4 linked regions of the Arabidopsis thaliana genome follow. The protein of the gene in region 3 interacts with the protein of the main gene of each other region in a pairwise test. Each region holds a gene or a part of one and is shown on either strand. Other genes may lie near its edges. The genes, in order: AL7, AL6, AT3G58630 and AT3G24860.

Evidence for each region.
Region 1: the proteins of AT3G58630 (region 3) and AL7 interact in a two-hybrid assay, tested with the Arabidopsis thaliana proteins (one large-scale study listed by BioGRID).
Region 2: the proteins of AT3G58630 (region 3) and AL6 interact in a two-hybrid assay, tested with the Arabidopsis thaliana proteins (one large-scale study listed by BioGRID).
Region 4: the proteins of AT3G58630 (region 3) and AT3G24860 interact in a two-hybrid assay, tested with the Arabidopsis thaliana proteins (one large-scale study listed by BioGRID).

The regions. Positions count from the first base shown.
Region 1 is NC_003070.9:4,960,936-4,966,672, forward strand, and holds AL7 (alfin-like 7), read right to left. Parts: upstream 3,581-5,737; 5' UTR 3,220-3,580; coding exon 3,123-3,219; intron 2,908-3,122; coding exon 2,875-2,907; intron 2,360-2,874; coding exon 2,131-2,359; intron 1,731-2,130; coding exon 1,604-1,730; intron 1,509-1,603; coding exon 1,236-1,508; 3' UTR 846-1,235; downstream 1-845. Other genes in the region: AT1G14500 (Ankyrin repeat family protein), read left to right, coding at 1-36, 132-845. UniProt on the Arabidopsis thaliana protein: Histone-binding component that specifically recognizes H3 tails trimethylated on 'Lys-4' (H3K4me3), which mark transcription start sites of virtually all active genes.
Region 2 is NC_003071.7:650,306-655,693, reverse strand, and holds AL6 (alfin-like 6), read right to left. Parts: upstream 3,119-5,388; 5' UTR 2,858-3,118; coding exon 2,761-2,857; intron 2,587-2,760; coding exon 2,554-2,586; intron 2,373-2,553; coding exon 2,144-2,372; intron 1,559-2,143; coding exon 1,432-1,558; coding exon of another isoform or gene 1,358-1,431; coding exon 1,073-1,357; 3' UTR 709-1,072; downstream 1-708. Other genes in the region: LOV1 (NAC domain containing protein 35), read right to left, coding at 5,045-5,388. UniProt on the Arabidopsis thaliana protein: Histone-binding component that specifically recognizes H3 tails trimethylated on 'Lys-4' (H3K4me3), which mark transcription start sites of virtually all active genes.
Region 3 is NC_003074.8:21,682,849-21,688,035, forward strand, and holds AT3G58630 (sequence-specific DNA binding transcription factor), read right to left. Parts: upstream 3,192-5,187; 5' UTR 2,924-3,191; coding exon 1,999-2,923; coding exon of another isoform or gene 1,988-1,998; exon of another isoform or gene 1,121-1,987; coding exon 1,080-1,120; 3' UTR 1,078-1,079; intron 974-1,077; 3' UTR 682-973; downstream 1-681. Other genes in the region: TTL4 (tetratricopetide-repeat thioredoxin-like 4), read left to right, coding at 1-111; AT3G58640 (Mitogen activated protein kinase kinase kinase-like protein), read right to left, coding at 4,305-4,387, 4,487-4,559, 4,638-4,926, 5,118-5,187.
Region 4 is NC_003074.8:9,071,936-9,075,610, reverse strand, and holds AT3G24860 (Homeodomain-like superfamily protein), read right to left. Parts: upstream 1,989-3,675; 5' UTR 1,970-1,988; coding exon 1,037-1,969; 3' UTR 929-1,036; downstream 1-928. Other genes in the region: AT3G24870 (Helicase/SANT-associated, DNA binding protein), read left to right, coding at 1-374; AT3G24850 (B3 domain protein (DUF313)), read right to left, coding at 3,427-3,675.

The sequences.
Region 1 (5,737 bases), on a different chromosome or scaffold from region 3:
CCTTTGCATCTTGCAGCATATAAGGAAGATCATCAGGTATAGTTCTTAAAGCTACTAAACTTTTTTTAGTTTTGTATGTTTTCTGTCATGTTGTGTCAAAATTGGCCTGAGTATAAAAGATATGTATGCAGGCGGTAAAACTGCTGCTACAGTGTCAGCTGGTGAAACTGAACGAAGTAAATGCGGATGGTTTAACATTCCTTGATATCTTAAGAAACAATGGACAGAGTAGAGACTTGGATAAGGATTTGGAACAAGTTGTTGTAAAAACCGGGTGCAAGGAGGCGGCTTCTCTTCCGCAACTCGAGAAACCGTCTGATCAGTTTAAGTCACCAGTCACTTTCTTGGCTCATTGCTCCATTGGCATCAGACGCCTAAGGTCCGACACTTCAGAAGAAGGCCGTGCAGTCTTCTTGATTATATGTACTTTGATACTCACATCCACTTATCAAACTGCACTCCAGCCTCCAGGAGGTGTACACCAGTCCGAGGGTGGTGGTACCGCAGTAATGAAACAGACATTCTTCATCGTCCTTTGGGTTTCTAACACTATAGGCTTCTGTTGCGCTCTACTCTACACGTTTTGTCTCCTACCAATCGGTAGCTTGTTTACAACATGGTTCTTTTGGATTGGAGCGTCTCTGGGAGTTTCTTATGCGCTTGCTATGGCTATAATCTCACCCAACCCTCTATTGTTTCTTTGTGCGGCCTTTACCTTGTACCTGCTCTTTCCTATGTATCTCTTTATGGAAATTTTCATAGCCCTGAGGCTGAGCCATCTGAAGGCTGCAGTAAATCGAATGTTTGTTACATTTGTGAAACAGAGAGGGACTTTGAGAATCTAAAGATATAACCTCGACAAATTGTTATTGAATGTCATGTTCTATGAGGTAATCAGCTTAATGAGTTTCATCGGGAGCCAAAGTTTAAAACTTTTAAAGCAAGTGAGATACCGAGAAGAAGAAACCACTTGACATAGACTAGAGAGTGCTTAAAAGACAGAATTTTCTCAGAAACTTAAGACAAATTAGTCATAACATTTTAACATTAACAGCAAAAAAAAAGAAAAGAAAAGAGAAAGAGACATTACTAACTGTAAGCTGTCTCAATCCCATTAAAACTACGCAATCAGAAGCCTTTTGTTTCTTCTTCTTCCCACAGCTAAACTCTTGTACTGTCTTCTTAAACTGTGAAAACGTTTTCCTCTTTCACAGGCTCTAATGTTATTATCACTTTCAGGCTTTCATTTTCTTGCTGGTAGTGCAACTTGGGCATTTGTAATGTTTGATATGCTCAGCCTTTGCTGGTGTGATCTTCACGCATTTCCCATGGAACCATTTCTCGCAAGCATCACAACATATCCAGAACTCATCTCCTCCATAGTTGTCGCCACACGCACCACAAACAGCACCTTGCTCGTCATCTTCATCCTCATCTCCGCTCTCATCTTCTTTTCTTGGTGGAGGGGACATCTTTGAAGCCTTAGTGTGAGATTCAGAATGACGAGGCTGCATTAGAAAACAAAGGAGTAAGTAGAGATAAGAACCCAACACAGATACATGGACTGAGAGGGCGAAAAAAAAGAGAAAACAGAAGCTTCTACCTTGCCACCACTAGATTTGCTTCTGCTACTGTTGTGGTTAGCAGATTGATCCTTGGATTGCTTTGCATTGCCAGTTACAACCTCGAAAATGGTTGGGAGATCATTTATCATCTGGAAGAGCCTCTTCCTGAAAGGAATTAATAAGATCAGAGGCAAGATAACTAAACCATTTGAGTCTATAATATCAGAGAAAACAAACAATGTTACTTGGCTATTCAACAAACATGATCTTTGACCTAAATTCTTAAATCTCAATAAATTTTGGTTCAGCTTAGATGGAATTCAATACATTTGTAGGTTCACTTCTCTCTACTGAAGGAGAAAAAATGATGATCACTTCTTCAGGGTTGTTTCACAGAAACAGGATAACATGAGTTTAGTGTGCCAGAGATCGTCACTAGTATCTACAACAACAACTACACGGTGTTTGGATGCTAGAATTATGCAGCTACTATACTAGTCATTGAAGCTTTACCAAACAAGCAAAATTAACAAACACAGAACACTGAGCAGAGAAAGAAACTTACCTCTCATTCTTGCCAAATCCGAAACGTGCACCAAAGTAAAATGCAACAGAGATAAGCCATGAATCACTGTGAACTGCAACCAAAGAAATCCAGTCTTTTTCTTGCATTCCGTCCCTTGCGAAATTGATGCCTAACGCTGGTTCAGGAAGCTCAGGAGGGACCTCCTCAACGGGAAGATTAACCTCCCATGTCTCATTTGGAAGTCCATAAAGACACAAGTTTTCCTTCTCTGCATTAGCAAAAAACGTAATTCACTAAGAAGTCAAGAAGAGAAACCACAAAGAGAACTAACTTCATCTTAGGTACAAATCTCACAAACACTTAAAAAGTCTATAATCTGTTCAAACATCATGAACCAAAAAAACTGTTCAAACAGACAACAACTCTGACAGGAAGATAATCAAAGATATAACACCTAACAGAGGAGTCAACTAGAAAAAGGATCATAACAACAAGTCTACTGCAGATTAGATGTAATCAGGAAGAAGCTAACTAAAACAATCTAACAGAATTTAGAAAAACAAAAGCTGGGAACAAAAAGAATCCGTGAACAAACTCATGAAGCAAAAAAAACGCATGTCCAATTACAATCTCTTCCCTAATTCAGACCCGAAAGGAACTCTTGCACTGAAAAATCTTAACTTTAGCAAAAAAAAAAAAAACACATCTTCCTATAAACAAGATAAGAACCAATGCGTTAGGAAGCTATATACAAGACTTTAAATGGGTAACGAAATAACTCACCAGGGTCACACTGATGGTAAAACTTCTGTACATCTGCAAAACAAAACACACAACAAAAGAACATGAATAAACCCAAAACAGGAAGAAGAAAGCCAAAATCTTTTGGGGGTTTTTTTCTCAGGAAATTAAGAAAACCCAATTGAAGAAACGAGCACTAAACATATAAAAAAAACTCGCAAATCTACAGAAATCATCTAAGATTCGATCAAAAGAAACAGAGTAAATAGAGAAAGAGAGATCGAGCTGACCAGTAGAGAGAGCCTTGATGAGACCAGCTCTACGACCACGAAAGTCGCTAAAAACCTCTTCGACAGTGCGAGGTATAGGATGCTGAATTCCTTCCATAGTATTGCTTCAAAAGCCAAAGACTTTCACAGATGAGAATGAATCAGCCTCACCAAAGAATGCTTCCAAGTATCGAGATGCACTCAGAAACAAAAAAGCCAAGATCGGCTTTTTAGTTTTTCCTTTTGAGGGAATTTTGTATAGTTCGGGGGAGAGTGAAATCTATAAACTTTCGGAGGAATTTATTTCATTTGGGGAAATTGAGAAGAGAGAGCTGTGCTAAGAAAAAAAAACCCTAAAAACGAAAAGGAAAGGAGACAAAAGACAATTTGAGGGATTTGGAAGCATTGGAAGAATAGATTAAAGCGACAACATCTCAACTTTTTTTTTTTTTTTTTAAAGTCACAACCTGTATTTATCTATTTATTTAATTCACTCCAGAAATATAAAGTCGTTTTACTTTTCTTTTGTTTTGGGTCAATATTTATGTGCGCTTTTTTTTCCTGAGGCATGTTCTACAACGAACTGAAGTAATAATACAGTAAATTTCTGCCAGTTTTACTGTGATTAACGTTTAAGAACTGTACTATAATATCCATATCTGTCGATCAATATAATGGAAAGGCTAAAGATTAAAAAAAAATAATGATTTTAAACAAAATTGATGGTTTTACAATATTCTGTCATTAATCTCTAGTTAATAATGAGTTAAATTATACTACTAATAGTTAAAAAGAATGCTTCAAGCTTAATACCGTAGAGAGAGCGAGGGTCTTTATCTGATTTGTTTAATCGTTAATGTTTTTTGTTATTATTTTGGTTTTGTTTATACTACTGTTTTACATGTTTTTGTTAATTTTCATGTGAATTATATTCAAATCAAACTCTACAAAGCTTTAATACATAGAAGTTAGAACTACATTAGGATGGATGACTATGTATTTCCTATCTTTTTGCAGATTAGAATTTGCGGGTAAGTAAGTAAAATGAGGCGTTGATGCTTTTATCCTCAAAAGAACAATCAGTTGTTTTTATGAAGAAGAAAAAAAGAAGAAGAAGTTAGTCACAGTTGGGAGATACTTGACGTGTATCACAAGTTGTCAGATACTTAGCAGAAAGATTAATGGTATAACGTCGAAACCAAAGAAACATTTTGATCTTCATACCAATAATTAAGTTTCCGGATGTTGTCTAAGAATCAGTTTGCTCCATTTCACGTTTCGACCTTATTGACATGTTGAATCATCAGATGACACATGGAAATGATTTTAAAACAATATGTATTTGTTTGGTTTGCTCTTCATCATGGTCTAATGAGCTATTTGCATACAGCATTTTTTAACATGGTTGTCTAATTTGGGATGTAAGTGTCGTTCTTTTGTATAAAGTTGTTTGATGGAGTTTCGTATTGTTTGATTAATTAAAAGGTAGTTTAACTAATAAAATTTAAATATATTTACGAATAATTAGGATTAGGAACACATTCACGTACTTGCCACATTAATAAAAGTAGACTATTAACTTTGTAAACATGTTATTAATCAATATTAAAAATATGCTACTGTCACATGACTCGCCTTCCAAGTTAGCTAACTATTAGTTAACTTCTAATATGTACTTATTAGATATAATAAGTATAAGTTCGAATCAATCTATTGTAATACCAATGTGGAATGAATTCATAACAAACTATCTTTCTCTCAAGGTTCATTCGTAATAGATTCATAAACATTCGATGAATAATGTAGTATCAGCTGACCAGTCAACAATTTTTGTAAAATACTAAGGCAACAAAATCAAGCTGACTATTCAACAATGGGCCTAATCTCACGAAAACGCCCAATTTGAAATCAACGAAGCCCATAACGCAGTGGTCTTCTCCGTCCATCCACCTGAAGCCCACAATTGATTATGGAGATCATCATCCGAAATCTTCAACCAAATCATTTCAACACAAGGCCCTCAACCCCGAAATTCGATGAGAAAAACTTTTCAACATTTTGTCACTGAAATACGGTTCGCATAATATAATGGAGTTCGGGTAAACCTGGTCTGAAATTTGATTACGAAAGGGCTCACAAATGATTTTACTAGTCTTAGTTAATTAAGCTCGAGGATAATGGGGCAATAGTTGTAATTACAAAAGTTATGGGTCATATTTAAAACATAATAAAAATATAAGGACCATAAACTAAAAAGTTTCAGTGTATCTTGCATCACCGAGGCAAGTATGCCAGTAGCCTCTCCAAGCATTTCAACAATCTTTGCCTTCCACCCGAAGGAAAGCCAATCCTATAAAGAGGGACGAAATCAGATGTAACTTAGCTTGCACATCCCCGAAAACACCAATATTCTTAAAGATTCCACATTATTTCCTGAATAAAGAAGAACCAAAAGGAACATGGGGTTCCCTTACCTCGCCAACAAAAGTCAAGTAAGTACCAATATTAAGAGCACGCCCATGACAATTTTTGCTATCTTTTTATTTTTTTGTACGAATACTCTTCAGATCTTTTTCAGTTGATGTCAATCCAAACTTTAATCATGAGTCTATCACAATGTTGTTGAAGTACATAAA
Region 2 (5,388 bases), on a different chromosome or scaffold from region 3:
ACATGGTAAGATAATCGATATATGAATAATAACATGGTAACATACTAAATATCGAAATAATATTTGTCTTAACACGGTAAGATAATCGATATATGGATAATATTTATTTGAACGTACTAAATGTTTCATTTAACGTACTAATGTTTCATCGAACCTTTTATTTTTAGTTTAATTAATTTAGGGGTATAATTGTCATAAAATTAAAATAGTAGAAGACAACGGTGTTTTTTTTGTCAGTTAATTATCATTATTCTGAGGATAGATAGTCATATTACCCAAAAAAAAAAAAGTAAACTAATAAATGAGTGGCATGATATATAAGCTACATGCCCAAACACACATCCTTGTCTAACATTGGGCTCAAATAGATCTAGTCAAGTAATAATTTGGGCTGTCATAATTTATCAACTTCAATCTTTTTTTTTATATATATAGCAAAAGTTCAAAAGACAACAAGATTGATGGCAATGTATATTTGCACTATGAAAAAACAATAGAAGTATTAGATAATTAATACTTGAACCATTTTTTCAAATGAAACAGTTTTTCTTTTTGACAATAATGAAACAGTTTTAAAAAAAATTAGAAGTATTAATCCTGACTGATACCTTTTGACCAATACCAATTTCATAATATATGGTGATATAATCAACTTAACTACCAATCATATGAAACAAAATAAATAGCTAAATAAAAGAGAGAGTAAGATAAAAGATGAATAAAAAGACTACATAACGACATAATAGTTTTTACAATTTTAGCAAATTACTAATCAGAAAAAAAAAAAAAAAATTACTAATCAGAACTAAAATATCTTAAACAGACCAAACAAATTAGTAGTAGAATTAACATTAACAACAACAAAAATCCAAAAAAAGAAAAGAAAAGACATCACCAACTGTAGATAGTCTCAATCCAACAATAAAGACTAAGCAATACAATTTTTTTTTTTACCTGCTTACATCTTCTAAGTCCCTTTTACTGGCATTTCTTATAAACTGGAAACTTCACCTTCTTCTTTCATAATTTTCTCCTAACTCGCTTTACCTTTTCATAATTTGGTTATTTAACTTCAAGGTCTAGCTCTCTTGTTACTGCAAGTTGGGCATTTGTAATGCTTGATGTGTTCTGCTTTTGCAGGTGTTATCTTCACACATTTTCCATGGAACCATTTCTCACACGCGTCGCAGCAAATCCAGAACTCATCTGTACCGTAGTTGTCTCCACAAGCACCACAAACCGCACCTTGTTCATCGTCTTCACTCTCATCTTCACTCTCATCTTCTTCTTCTTCTTCTTCTTTTGGCGGTGGAGATGACATCTTTGCAACCTTTGAGAGAGATTCGGATTGGCGAGACTGTTTGTGAGGAATACAAAGAGATAAAACTTAGCAGAGATTGATAAAACAAAATGGTGAAACAGAAGAGATACCTTGACGCCACTAGGTTTGCTTTTGCTATTATTGTTGTTAACAGATAGATCCTTGGACTGCTTTGCATTGCCGCTCACAACTTCGAAAATGGTTGGCAGCTCATTAATCATCTGGAACAGCCTCTTCCTGAAAAAGAATCGGTCCATGGCATAAGCTTAAAGGCAAGTGATAGCTAAGTTGTTCAAACAAACCTAATGCCAGAGAAGAATTTGATGAGATTCAGAATCAACAACTCATTCTGCTCAAGCTTTTCGTTTAACCTGTCAGCTACCAGTATCAAATAATGGATTCAGTGATTGTTGCTGAGCTCTCAACAAAGGTACAATGCAGTGGAAACTACCTAGGCTAATTACAGTGATCCTGCACAAGACTAATACAAGAAGTACTAATCAGACTTAGAGGCACATATCACATCTATTGACTAATATATCTATCTCAATAACATTGATCCAGATTGGTGCGATTCATAACTCTAGTCACTTCAAAATAGAAACTGGGAACCACTTACAAAAAGAGTTACACAGAAACCGACCCTATAAATAAGATCACGTGAGTTACAAAAATCCACACAGAGATTGTTGTATCAGACAAATAGACAAAACAAGAGGATGCTAGAATGATCATTATAACCTTACCACACATGAGTACACCCAATATTGTCATAATTGAGATGCAACACTCAAAAACACTGAGCTTGAGAAGGACCCTTACCTCTCATTCTTGCCAAATCCGAAACGTGCACCAAAGTAAAATGCAACAGAAAGCAGCCATGAATCACTGTGAACTGCGACCAAAGATACCCAGTCCTTTTCTTGCATTCCGTCTCTAGCGAAATTGATGCCTAAAGCTGGTTCAGGAAGCTCAGGAGGAACTTCCTCAACGGGTAGATTAACCTCCCATGTCTCATTTGGAAGTCCATAGAGACACAAATTCTCCTTCTCTACATAAACAAGAATGAAACACCTTAAAGAAAAACCACACAGAGGAGGACTAACTAACTCAATCTTTAACCAACACAATTCAACAACATACAAGCTCAACAACTTCAACAAAACATTTCACTAGAAACTATAGAAGCTAAGCAAGACTAATTTTTTAAAAGTTGTGAAGAAATAACTCACCAGGATCACACGTTTGGTAAAACTTCACCATATCTGCATAAACAAAACACAAAACCCAGAATCGTCAAATCTCACAAAAGAAACCCAAAATAAAAAAAGTTCTTCTTTTTTAACAAATGAAAAACCCAAATGCCACAAAATCGTAACTCTGTAGATACTTATCATTCTGATTCGCAAGTGAGAAACAAGAATCAGACCAAAACTGACCATTAGTGAGAGCTTTAATAAGACCAGCTCGTCGACCTCTGAAGTCGCTAAAGACCTCTTCAACAGTACGAGGTATTGGATGAGTAATTCCCTCCATTTCACAAACGATGTCGCCGGAGAAATCGCCGGAGAATATGAGTACTCCGGTCAAAATCAAAATCTGAGACAAATGTTTCCAGGCAAACAAAAGAAACCCAGAAGGAAAAATATTCACTTTGGGGTTTCGGATTTGGAGAAATGAAATTTGTAAATCTCTGAAAGAGAGAGTTTTTTTTTAATTTGGGGGAAATTGAGAAAAGAAAAAAAGAGAAAGGAGCTACAAACCCTAAAACGATAAAACAAAAGGGACCGATCAAAGATTAATTTTGGGGCTGAGAAGTAATATTAATAAAGACAACATTGTCTATTTTATTATTTTTGTATTAATTAAATAAAGACAACATTGTGTATTTTATTATTGTTTATGTAATAATATAAAATCTATTTATTAATTCCGATCTACATACCCTATTTTTTTCCGAGCTACATTCCCCACTCCCAAATTTTACATTATTTTTATTTTGGTCAAAGACATTTATTTAAATTTTATTTTATTTTTAAAAGTGTCGACGAAAAAAACATGTATTTTTTTTTTTTAACATATTCATTTCCATTAATATTACGAAAAAAAAACATGTTTTTATACGTAGGCTGAGGCATCCAAATTGATCCACAAATTTGGTTTTTGTTTTCAATTAACTTGACCTTAAAGATAAAAGTTAAAAGTTAAAACATTCAGGTCCATCTTGTATTGTACAGAAATAGCATGCCTGGCCCATTAAAGGATAGTGGGCTTTTATAGTAACCTAGGGGAAATGAGATTTGAAGTTTTCAACGATCATCACATTCACGTATTTTGAAAGTTTTTTTCACGATATACACCAGAAATAGATATTTTGAAAGAGAAAGCTACTAAAAAACGGAAAACATTTTGCCTTTTATCACTCAAAAAAATAAAAAATTCATCAAATTTTTAATTATTTTATTGTTTTTATGTGTGATTCTAGATGTAAGAATTAAGAAACGAACCAATATTAATCGGATTCGTTATCTTTGAATATTTTTGCGTTAAGCACGTCGTACTAGCTAGCGAATACGTTTACCGCAACTGTAATCTAATTCGTCACAGAATATCAATGATGTGGTATAATCAACTATAATCTTCTTTTTTCTTTGGGCAAAATCAACTATAATCTATGAATATATACTTACTAATATAGGTGATAGACATATATTATTTAAAATAATCTAAGAAAACATGCAAATACGGTTACATCGACCGGTTAGAAAGGGAAAAAACTTTAAAATTAGTACTTTCGTATCATATTCAAGTCAGTATATATTAGGATTTTGCCACATTACATATATTATTAAAGATTGTTAATAATTAGGATTAAAAAGACTAGTATGAGAGTTAAGTCAAGTTTAAATTTGTTTTTCTCATTGAGAAAAAGGGAACTGATTTCTTACAACATACAACTGTTCATGCTGGTCATATCTGACAAAATCACGGGAACAACTGCTCTTACCAAATATTGCACGTCCTATGCTTTTTTTTTTTGTCAAACCCTAATTAGTCTTATATTTACAAAGACAAAAAACTAGCTAACATCTTTTATCTTTATATATTTCTATCTCAAAATTAGTTGTTGAATTCTTAAGAGTTAGTGGATTGTTTATCTATAAAGTCGCACTAACAGGTAACTAAAATTAAACATCTTGGATCTAATGCATGTAAATGACAATGCAAAATGAATTCTAATAAGTGATGAATAAACAACAAAAAATATCAACATTCAATTTGAAATTTTGAAATGGAATGAAGACCAAATTAAATATCACTAGGTTGGATTTACGGTTACTATTGTTATGGTTTAGTTAGTGTTTGGTTTTAGTCTGGTTTCGGTTAGGGCTCGTACATGAAAATCTAATCCAATAAGTTTATTTCTTCTTTGGTTTGTTTGAGAACTTTTGATACGGATTGCACTCCTTAGTCATTTTGTATTCATATATTACAGTGAATTTTTTTTTTTTAACTACGTTGAATCTAGCTTAAAGAAATTAACTTTAACACAAGAAAAAAAAAACTACTTAATTGACTATATATGTTGAGAATCAGTTCCATTACATAAACTCGCAGTAATCAATCATTGTCTATCGCCATAACAATATATAAGGAGTATGAAAATATGGCAAAGCAGCATTAATAATTATTGTCATGGATAATAATCATGATCTAATTAAATTACTTAAAAGGAATATTAGTATAGTGATCTCTGTTTCCATCTGGTACTATTGGATTCCACATATCCCACAAAGCATTGTTTGGAATCGTTCCTGCAGGAATCATGTTCATAGCTAACGCCGCTTGAGTTTGAGGCATTAGCGTTGTCGCTGTAGTCGCCGCAGCCACCAATTGTAATGCGTTTGCGTTAGCATTTTGTTGTTGAGTATGATGAAACTGTTGAGCAATTTGAAAGTATTGGTGATTGATGTTACCTCCATCTGATATTTGGTAGTTAACTAGTCTTTGAAGATCGTCAACAATGGCAGTTTCATCATCGTCTTGATGATTTCTCGTAGAGACTA
Region 3 (5,187 bases):
ATCAAGAAAATTCCAACGTTTAAGATTTATAAGAAGGGAGAGAAAGTGAAGGAAATGGTATGTCCTAGTCATCAGTTACTAGAGGACTCTGTTACGCATTTCCTCTTATAACATATCTCTCTTCTCATTCTTTCAAATCTTTAGTCTTCACGAACGTAAATTGATTCAAAGAGCCATTTTGTTAATTGAAATTTTCATTCTTTTGTTTTGCTTTACTGTATTATCATATTGAAACCTGCTCCGATTGTATTAATCCGAGGAAAATGCATGTTTCTCAATTATCGTTCATGCAAAAAGGCCCCAATTTAATGGTTCATTTGGTTTTCTTATTTTTGTTTGTTTTAGAAACTCTTACTTATTACAAATGGGTCCTGGTGGGCTGGGTTACTTGTAATAACACTGCTTTCAATAAAATATCCATTGACAAATAAACTATAGTTTCATAGAAGGAATTTGAGGCGCCAATACAGAACACAAACTATGACAAAGTCTCAATGAGAGCAAAAATGATTTGCCTCACATTTTGGGCAAAGGTTATGAATCTCAAGTTCTTAACATTTCATATTAAAGTCTCTTAAACTTAACATGTTATGGAGTTGAGAACTTGAGATTTGTAATAGATAAATAATGAATTACTAGGATATAGCGGTATATCCCTGAAGATTTTTTTTTTATTTTCCACCTCATTAAATCATAAATTAGAACACAAACTAAGAAATACCAAACAATACTAACCAATATAATTTTGCTGAAAACTGTTTCTTGTACTGTTTCATTGTGTAGATATACCAATATAACGTCACCAATTTTTTTTTCAATCCTGGGTTGGAATCGGAATCTTCTAAAAGGGTTAAAATTTACAAAACAAAGAGAAACTCATGTTTCTTTGTTACCATATCTTCTATTGGTTGGTGGAAGAACGCTGACTTTCTCTCATCTTCATCAAAATGGCTACAATCACAAACTCATGATGCTGCAAACAAAACCAACGACTTAGCCCAACAAGTCTACACATTTTGTACATAGGCAAAGTTTTGATCGACTAGGGAGTTTTAAATATAAATAAAGGAGTCGTACCTCTAGAAGTAACTAGGGAAATCCATCATCCCATAATCAAGAGCTGCATAAACAGAAAAAGTTCACTTATTATTCATACATAGACCTGCTGCTGATAATTTGTTCTAGTGGTCAAACATGTAATGCAAAGAGGAATTCATCAAATTAGCAGGTGACTAACAAGTAAAGAAATATGGACCAAGCGAAAACGAAAGAAACAAATGTCTGTCGTGTAATGCCATAGCCAAGTTGCAGGAAAGATTTGATGCATCCAAAAAAAAATCAAATTTTGTCTCCTGAGACTATATGTCAGAAACTAATGGTTGATGCATCCGAAAAATCCTTCCACATATCATGCATTCTCTTTTCAAACATCCATACCCATTATTTCCTAACTTTCGAAGCAGTTAGCATGTAAACTCACAATCTTCTCAATCAACTAACCAACAAAAAGGCTACTCTACACTCAAAACTTACTGGGCATCACACTCAAAACACTTCACAAAGCACTCATGCTTAACAACAAACAGAAGCAGATTCAAGTTTCTAGCTCATGAACTGCTTCCCAACTAATGCTCACATCAGTCATTGTAGAAAAACTTTCCACACTCAGACTATAATTACAAGAAACACAAGTAACAAAGCAACAACATCTAGGAGAAAAATGTAACCAGGACCTCCTCCTTACCATGAATACCAATACTTGCTACTAATTAGTTTATTTTTGTTCAGATTCATCATCTCTGTGCGATATCAATTTGTTCTTGTACTTTGATTGGGTTTATTATAGCCGTCGTTGGCACAGAGACTATCACAAGTAAAAAGGTAAAATTTGTTTCTACTCTTATGCTATAGTCACTGTTACACAGCTAAACAATGGAGAAAGACATAGAATTCTGAACAGATTACGAAATACGGCGAGAGAAAGGATTCAGGTCTCACCGGCGGAGGCGGAGGAAGTCGGTCCTTTGGAGCCAGAGGTACGCCGGAGCTTATGAAGACGTACCTGCATCTCCGTGAACAGTTGCATCCTATGGCATTCCAATTCCTTAGCGAATCTCATTCTCTGCTTCTCCAATTCAACCATTTCCTTCCTCTTCTTCTCCTCGACTCTCTCGTATATCTGTCCAAGCCTCTCAATTGCGTCGGCAACTTCCTTGTAGCCTTGCTTCTTCTCAATTTTCCTCTCCCGCTTCTTGTTACTCCCGCTACGACCGCTCGATCTAGACCTTGAACCTTCCGAGTCATCTTCAGACGCCGGACACGCCGCCGCCGCTGCGGCTGCCGCGAATGCGTTGAGATTCCCGCGAAATCCGAGTAAATCGTCACCGGCGTGAGGTATAATCGCCGGCGATGTCGCCGGACGTCTGGGGATCGCCGATCGTGGAGCGACCGGAACTGGATTAATGGACATCGGAAGTGATAGCCTCTGGTGCGGGATGTTATCAGTTGAATCAGGATTACTAGACGTCGGAAAGCTTTCCCGGAGAAGGTCATCGAGAGCGGAGAAGAAAGGCCAAGGGCTGATGTAGGCACCGGGATTGGATTCCGAAACCCTAGCCTTCTCGACTTTGTACTTCTTCTTCAGAGTATCGATCCGGTTTTTACACTGAACGTCGGTGCGATACGGCTGCGATTTGGCGGCGGAAACGTTTCGACCGGTGTTGTAGTGACGGTCGTTAACGGCGTTAGCCACCTCTTGCCAGTGTTTCTGACGGAGATTACCTCGGCTGAGGTCGACGTAGCGATTACCCCAGGCTTGGATGAGCGTGAAGGTCGCTTCCTCGCTCCAGCAATCTTCACGAGAAAGCGTCGCCGGCGAAGGTCGGGAAGATCCCGGCGAAAAGGAATCGTTGACGGTGTCCATTATAAGGTGAACGACGGCGAGTTAGATCGAAGAAGATGAACGGTGAGGATGAGATAAACGGAGGTGAACGGTGACAGTGACGGTAACGGAATTGAAGAGAAACGAAGTTCTTTTTTTTTAAAAAGACAAACCAGCGTTTTTGCTTTGTGTGCATGTACTAAACCGTGAGCCAGACTAAACGAGCCAGCTCTAGCTAATTTATATACATCGTTAATTTGGTTTTTATTTTTTAACAGCTAAAACGTTTTAATTTTTATTTTATTTTGTTAATGTTGACTACCGAACAAGATAATATTTCTCTATATTTTTTTTTCTTACAAAAGCTTTAAATATTCATTTTAATATGCAATTTGATAAGTCTAAAGTTAATTAGTAATATTATGTGTGGTAGTTCTAATTAAATTTCATTATGAATCGTTGGTAATATATTTTTTTTTTGGGTGAATCGTTGGTAATATAATATGTAAGTTTTGGTTGATATTTTCCTTTTTTTTTGTTGTCTAACTTAATTAGAATATGATAACGGTTCCAAATGAATTGGTATCACATCCTAAATAGTATGTAATTGACAAATTTATAGCATGGTGAAATTTCTGAAACTGTAGATTGTAGAGAAAAATCAAAGCTAATTAAAAAATCGGATATGGCTCGTTAGATGTTTGGTTTAGTTTCCGTAAAATGTAATGATAGTACTGCCAAGTAGAATATGATCAAACGATCTATTTTTGTAAGTTAATGACACATTGCTATATTAGAATAAGTTATTCTAAGTTTTGTGTGTTTAGGTGATAAGCTAAATGGGTAACGCGAACTACTAGTATCGTTGTTATATCACCGAATTTAAACTCGGTACTAGAATGTATGTTGTTGTCAAATAGGTAATGACAAATTACGGCTACGAACATAAAATCGTTTTTTCTTTAAATAACTAGAAGTTCTGCAAAAACTGTAGTTTGCTCTTTTTTCTTTGTCAATCAAAGCTCCTTTTCATTTCTTAAGGCACGAAATATAAACGAAAAGTACATGTATTTGTCCGTAATTTTCTTATAGCAAATGCAAAGCAGGGAACAAACCTTATGGTACGAAAAAGAGTAGCAAGCTTGATCATTTAAACTGAAAGAATGAGCAACTCTTCTCACCTTTTGTAAAATTTATAAGACTTACTTTTTTGTTTCAGAGGTTTTGAAATTTACGAATTTGCAAATGATTAAACGGAAAAGAGTTCCACAAAGCTTTTTGTGGATGTGAAAGCGCCAAAGTTCTTTTGTACAAACTCAAAGGAGAAAGCCAACAATATTCAAAAAAAAGAAACGAAGAAAACAAAAACCTCTCTCGCTGCAAAGTTTTATATTCACAGAAGGAAAATATGATTGAGAGAAAGTTAGCAAAGCGAATACTCACAATCCAGCAAACGAGAGAGTATCTCATTGCAACTCGGTCTTTGTTCCGGTTCTGTCCAACAATCTGCGAACAAGAGACAACACATCAGAAAAGGATACTCCATAAACCCCAAACAAAGCTTCAGGAAAAACGAAATAACAACACTTTGACAAGTCACAAGACCTGCAATAAGCTTTCCCAGTGGTCCTTCAGGAATCTCAAGCCGAGCTCCCTCGTAAGCAATAGCATAAACAACCTGAGAAGAAATATGAGGAAACTTGTTATATATACACATATGTCACTAAAGAGTCTTCTTCTTGTTCAGTTAAGTTACCCGTTCAGGCGGTACTCCTTCCCAAGGTCTGGTTAAAGTGCATAGCTCCCACATTATTACACCTAAACTGAAGATATCACACTTTTCTGAGAAGGGCTCATTGCGGATAAGTTCAGGAGCCATCCACTCTGGAGTTCCTGCAGAGACTGTGTCTCTCATTGTTGTCCCTGTCATTATTCTCGACAGCCCAAAATCACAGATCTTGACTGTCCATTTGTTGCTCAAAAGACAGTTTGCACTCTTTATATCACGGTGTACTATCCCCATCCGGTGTATACACATCAATCCCCTAGCAACATTTTACAAGTTTAAACGCTGTTTGTTAATTAAAGATGATTACGAAACTTTCTCATCGAGACACAATTCCAGGTCCTATTTGGAAGTGTTATTGCCTTCTCCTCAAACCAAAATTTTCCATATTAATACTACATACTATGTTGGAAAGAAGGATACACGGTTTTGTATGGAAGATGAAATTACCTGCAAATGTCCCGCAGCATCTTTAGCTTCCTCCGCCAGCTTAACCTCTTTTTTTGTCCACTCAAGTGGA
Region 4 (3,675 bases), about 13 Mb from region 3:
AGGGTATGCCTCAAGCGAGTAATGATTTGAAAAACATAAAAGCAGTTGGTTCTACTGCGGTGCCTGCTTTGGAACCTCCATCTTGTGTTGCTTCTGTGCAAAGCACTGCTTCGAAAGTAGTAAACAATTCCAATACAGATTCAGCAGGAAATGATCCAGTATCAACACCGAACCAAGGACTAGCTCAAAAGCACGGGATCAAGGGCGTTACACAGAGACAACAACAGTCTCTACCTTCAGAAGAAAAGAGACCGAAATTGCCAGAGAAGCCGACTGTACAAAATCAGAAACACCTTGCTTCTGAGGAGCAGCCTCATTTAGAAGAAGCACAAGAATTATCATCTTCCAAGCCTCCTGATACAAAAGTGGAATGAGAGGCATGACAGATGAACCTAGAACCTTGAGTAGCTGTAGATCCTGCAAAGCTTAACGCTGGCCCTTACCGACAACAACCCTGTACAGGAACCCAAACTGGTTTGTGTCCTCCACCTTCAGAGTCGGGTCTCTTTTTGGCATTAACATCTTGAAGCTGCTGGTGGTCTTTGGATTTGGCTGAGAGTATAACATAACAAACTCTACAGATTGTGGAGTTTGCAGATTTGGTAAGGCCAGAGGGAGATCAATAGGGAAGAAGTTGGTGGATAGGATAAAATTCATGCAGGTCTTTTTGCCTCTTTTGATGAACACAAAGAGAAGAAGGTATATCATAATGTAAATTACCCACTTGCATCATAGAGAAGTAGTCTCTTCTTCTTCCCATCTTTTGGTTTGGGAGAGAGTAGAAACAGTTTATAATGTTTTGTATAGAAGTCTCTACTCCTCCATCCTTGTGGCATATACTTAGGGCCCTTTTTTAACCTTTTCCTCTAACTTATTCTCTTGTAGGTTTAGGTTAATTTGATGAATGTATCATTGTTCTTTTATGGTTAAAAAAAAAGTTCACTTCACTCCCATAAACATTAGCTTACATAGTGCATTTCTTCAAATCCGTTACCTATGTTACAAATCTAAAAGCAACAATGACTAAATCTCTACGTTAGAAAGAATCAAAAGCATTGTTGATAAATTGAAGAAGCTGAGTTTGAGAACTCTGAATCAAATTGATTCTACGAATCTCCATTTCCTTACGAAGTCTCACAGTCTCTTTAGCAAACTCAATCTTCTTCTTCTCCATTACCATTACTCTCTCAGCAAACGCCCTAATCTCCGCTGCAACGGCTCGCATTCCTTTCCTCCGCCTCTCACCACCGTCTCCATCGTTCCTCTTCCTCTTCGATGATCTCTCTTTTTGTCCCCATGACAACAATCCTCCACCAACTCCAGCAAATCTGTTAACAGTTCCAGGTCTTCTCAATATGTAATTAATACTCCTCGATTTGCTCTGTCTCTCATCTTCTTCTTCCTCTTCTTCGTAGTTATTGTTATCCTCTTCTTCATCTTCTTCTTCGTCGTCTACGTAGCGATTATTCGAATTAGGAGGAAGACGAGTGAGAGGACGAGCTGAGATCGGAGCAGGATTTGAAGAATCCAATTCCTCCATTTGATTATAGAAAGGCCAAATTGAGATAGGTCCCATACTCTGTCTCTCAGATCGGAATCTTTTACGCATCTTCTCGATCTTATGCCTACACTGTGTAGATGTCCGTTCAACGCCGGAACGAGATGAGGCAGCAACGGCGATCTCTTCCCAGTGAGTTGATTTTAGAGGACCACGACCAATTGCGAACCATTTCTCTTTGTATGATTCGATTAAGAGGAGGGTCTCGTCTTGAGTCCAGAGAACAGGTTGGGTTTTTCTGGCGACGGCGGAGGTTGATGCGGCTAAAGCTACGACGGTGGTGTGCGGTGGTGGAGAGGATGGATTCGTGGGTTGAGGAGGAGAGGGTGGTTGTTTCTGATGCGGCGGAGTAGCGGCAGAATTAGGGTTTGAATCAGAGGGAGGAGAGGAGGTCGGCGAAGGCGTCGCCATGGTTTAGTGTAACAATGTTAATTGGTGCTTCGGATTTTGTCAGTTTAACTCCAACTCGGATCTTTGGGCTTTTTTTGTCTTCTTGTTGATTTTTTAAATTTTGGGCCCAACAAAAATTTACTAGACCAACCCACTTAGAGGAAGTAAAAATTTACTTCTCTTTTTTTACTCAGAGGAAGTAAAAAGTATCGGAGGAACAAAAGAGATAAACTCATGCAGAACTCCTTTACTTATTCAACACAATAGTCTAACTTGTAGGGATTCATTGAAGAGAAATTGACTAATTCTTCCTAACAACTGACAAGTAGAACAAGGAGAAGCAACTTTTCTCCATGAAACAAACCAAGAGTTTGAGGTGATGCCTTAGCATTCTTCGAAACAATCAATCACTTCAGCATATTTGGTGAGCAAGTTTATACCCGAGAGAAAGCCCAAATATGTTTACTGGGTTTATATTCAGATAGTCTTAGCTAAAGTCGATCTAATCACTTCACCATATGTTTTTTTGTTATTCTGTATCAGATCATCTAGAAAGGATTGTGTTCTTCCCGCGACGAAAAATTCCCTGGAGGCTTCGATAAAGATGGTCTTGCTTTTGCTGCAAACAGCAAAACAGCTTATGTGGTCAGCCACTACTGCAGTTATCTCTGTTTTTCAACCAGCCTTCCAAGTTGTGCCTAGGCAAACCTGCGTTGATGAGATCCTCCTCTCATTTTCTCTCTAATCGTTTCTCATCCTCTTCACTGCAATTTCCTCCTTCTTCCATCAACGGCTGCTAAGTGAGCAAAACGAACAAAAAATTTAGTTGGAATATGACAAGAGATGAGCGTGATGTCTCTCACATGTAATATATATGGTTTGAGGGTGAAGTAATAGTAGCAATGCAGACTTCGGATATGAGATTCAAATATAATCAGGTTTCAGCTTGGAAGTTTCTGCAGTGTCTTGGCCAGCACGAATGCATTCCCTGTGTTAAAGGACGTCGTACTTATTCAAGTGGCAGAAGGAAGCAATTGTAGCAAAACCTGTCATTGGCAACAAATTTTGTTCCTGATTTGATCATTTAGTAGAAACCTGTCACTTAGTAGAAAACAACCCTGGTTTTGATTGTATTGAGCATTTCTCATGAATGTACCATAACATGTAACCTTTTCACAATTGGATCAATGTCATCACACAAAATTAGACTTTGAGATATATTACAAGAAATCGAAAGGTAACTAAAGTAGACCAAACAACAAACCAGATTCATGTCAAAAGTGCTAAGTACATACGATTATAATGATCTGAAACAATAGAAGGAACAAGTTACTAAGAAGAAAGAGGAACCCAAGTTTCTTTAGTTTAACTCTTTCAAGAAATTACTAGACAAAAGAATCTTCAGAATCTCCTGAAAATCACTGTGCGTGTTAATCAACCAAGTTATAGTCACAAGACTCACAACAGACATAAGATACTTAGCAGAGACAGAGAGCAAGAGAAGAGCTACTCTGTTCCATGGCAAAGCAAAGGACTCCACGACACCTGAACGACCAAACACTAATGTTGTCGCCTTCTTTCAATCCGTTAGCCTCAACGACATCGTTCCACCCACAAATCAGATTGTAGTTCCAGCTTCCTTTTCCTGATTCCTTCTTCAGCTCCCATCTTTTCAACATCACACCCCACTTTACAGACCGTTGATCCACGAGAATCGCTCCCACTCC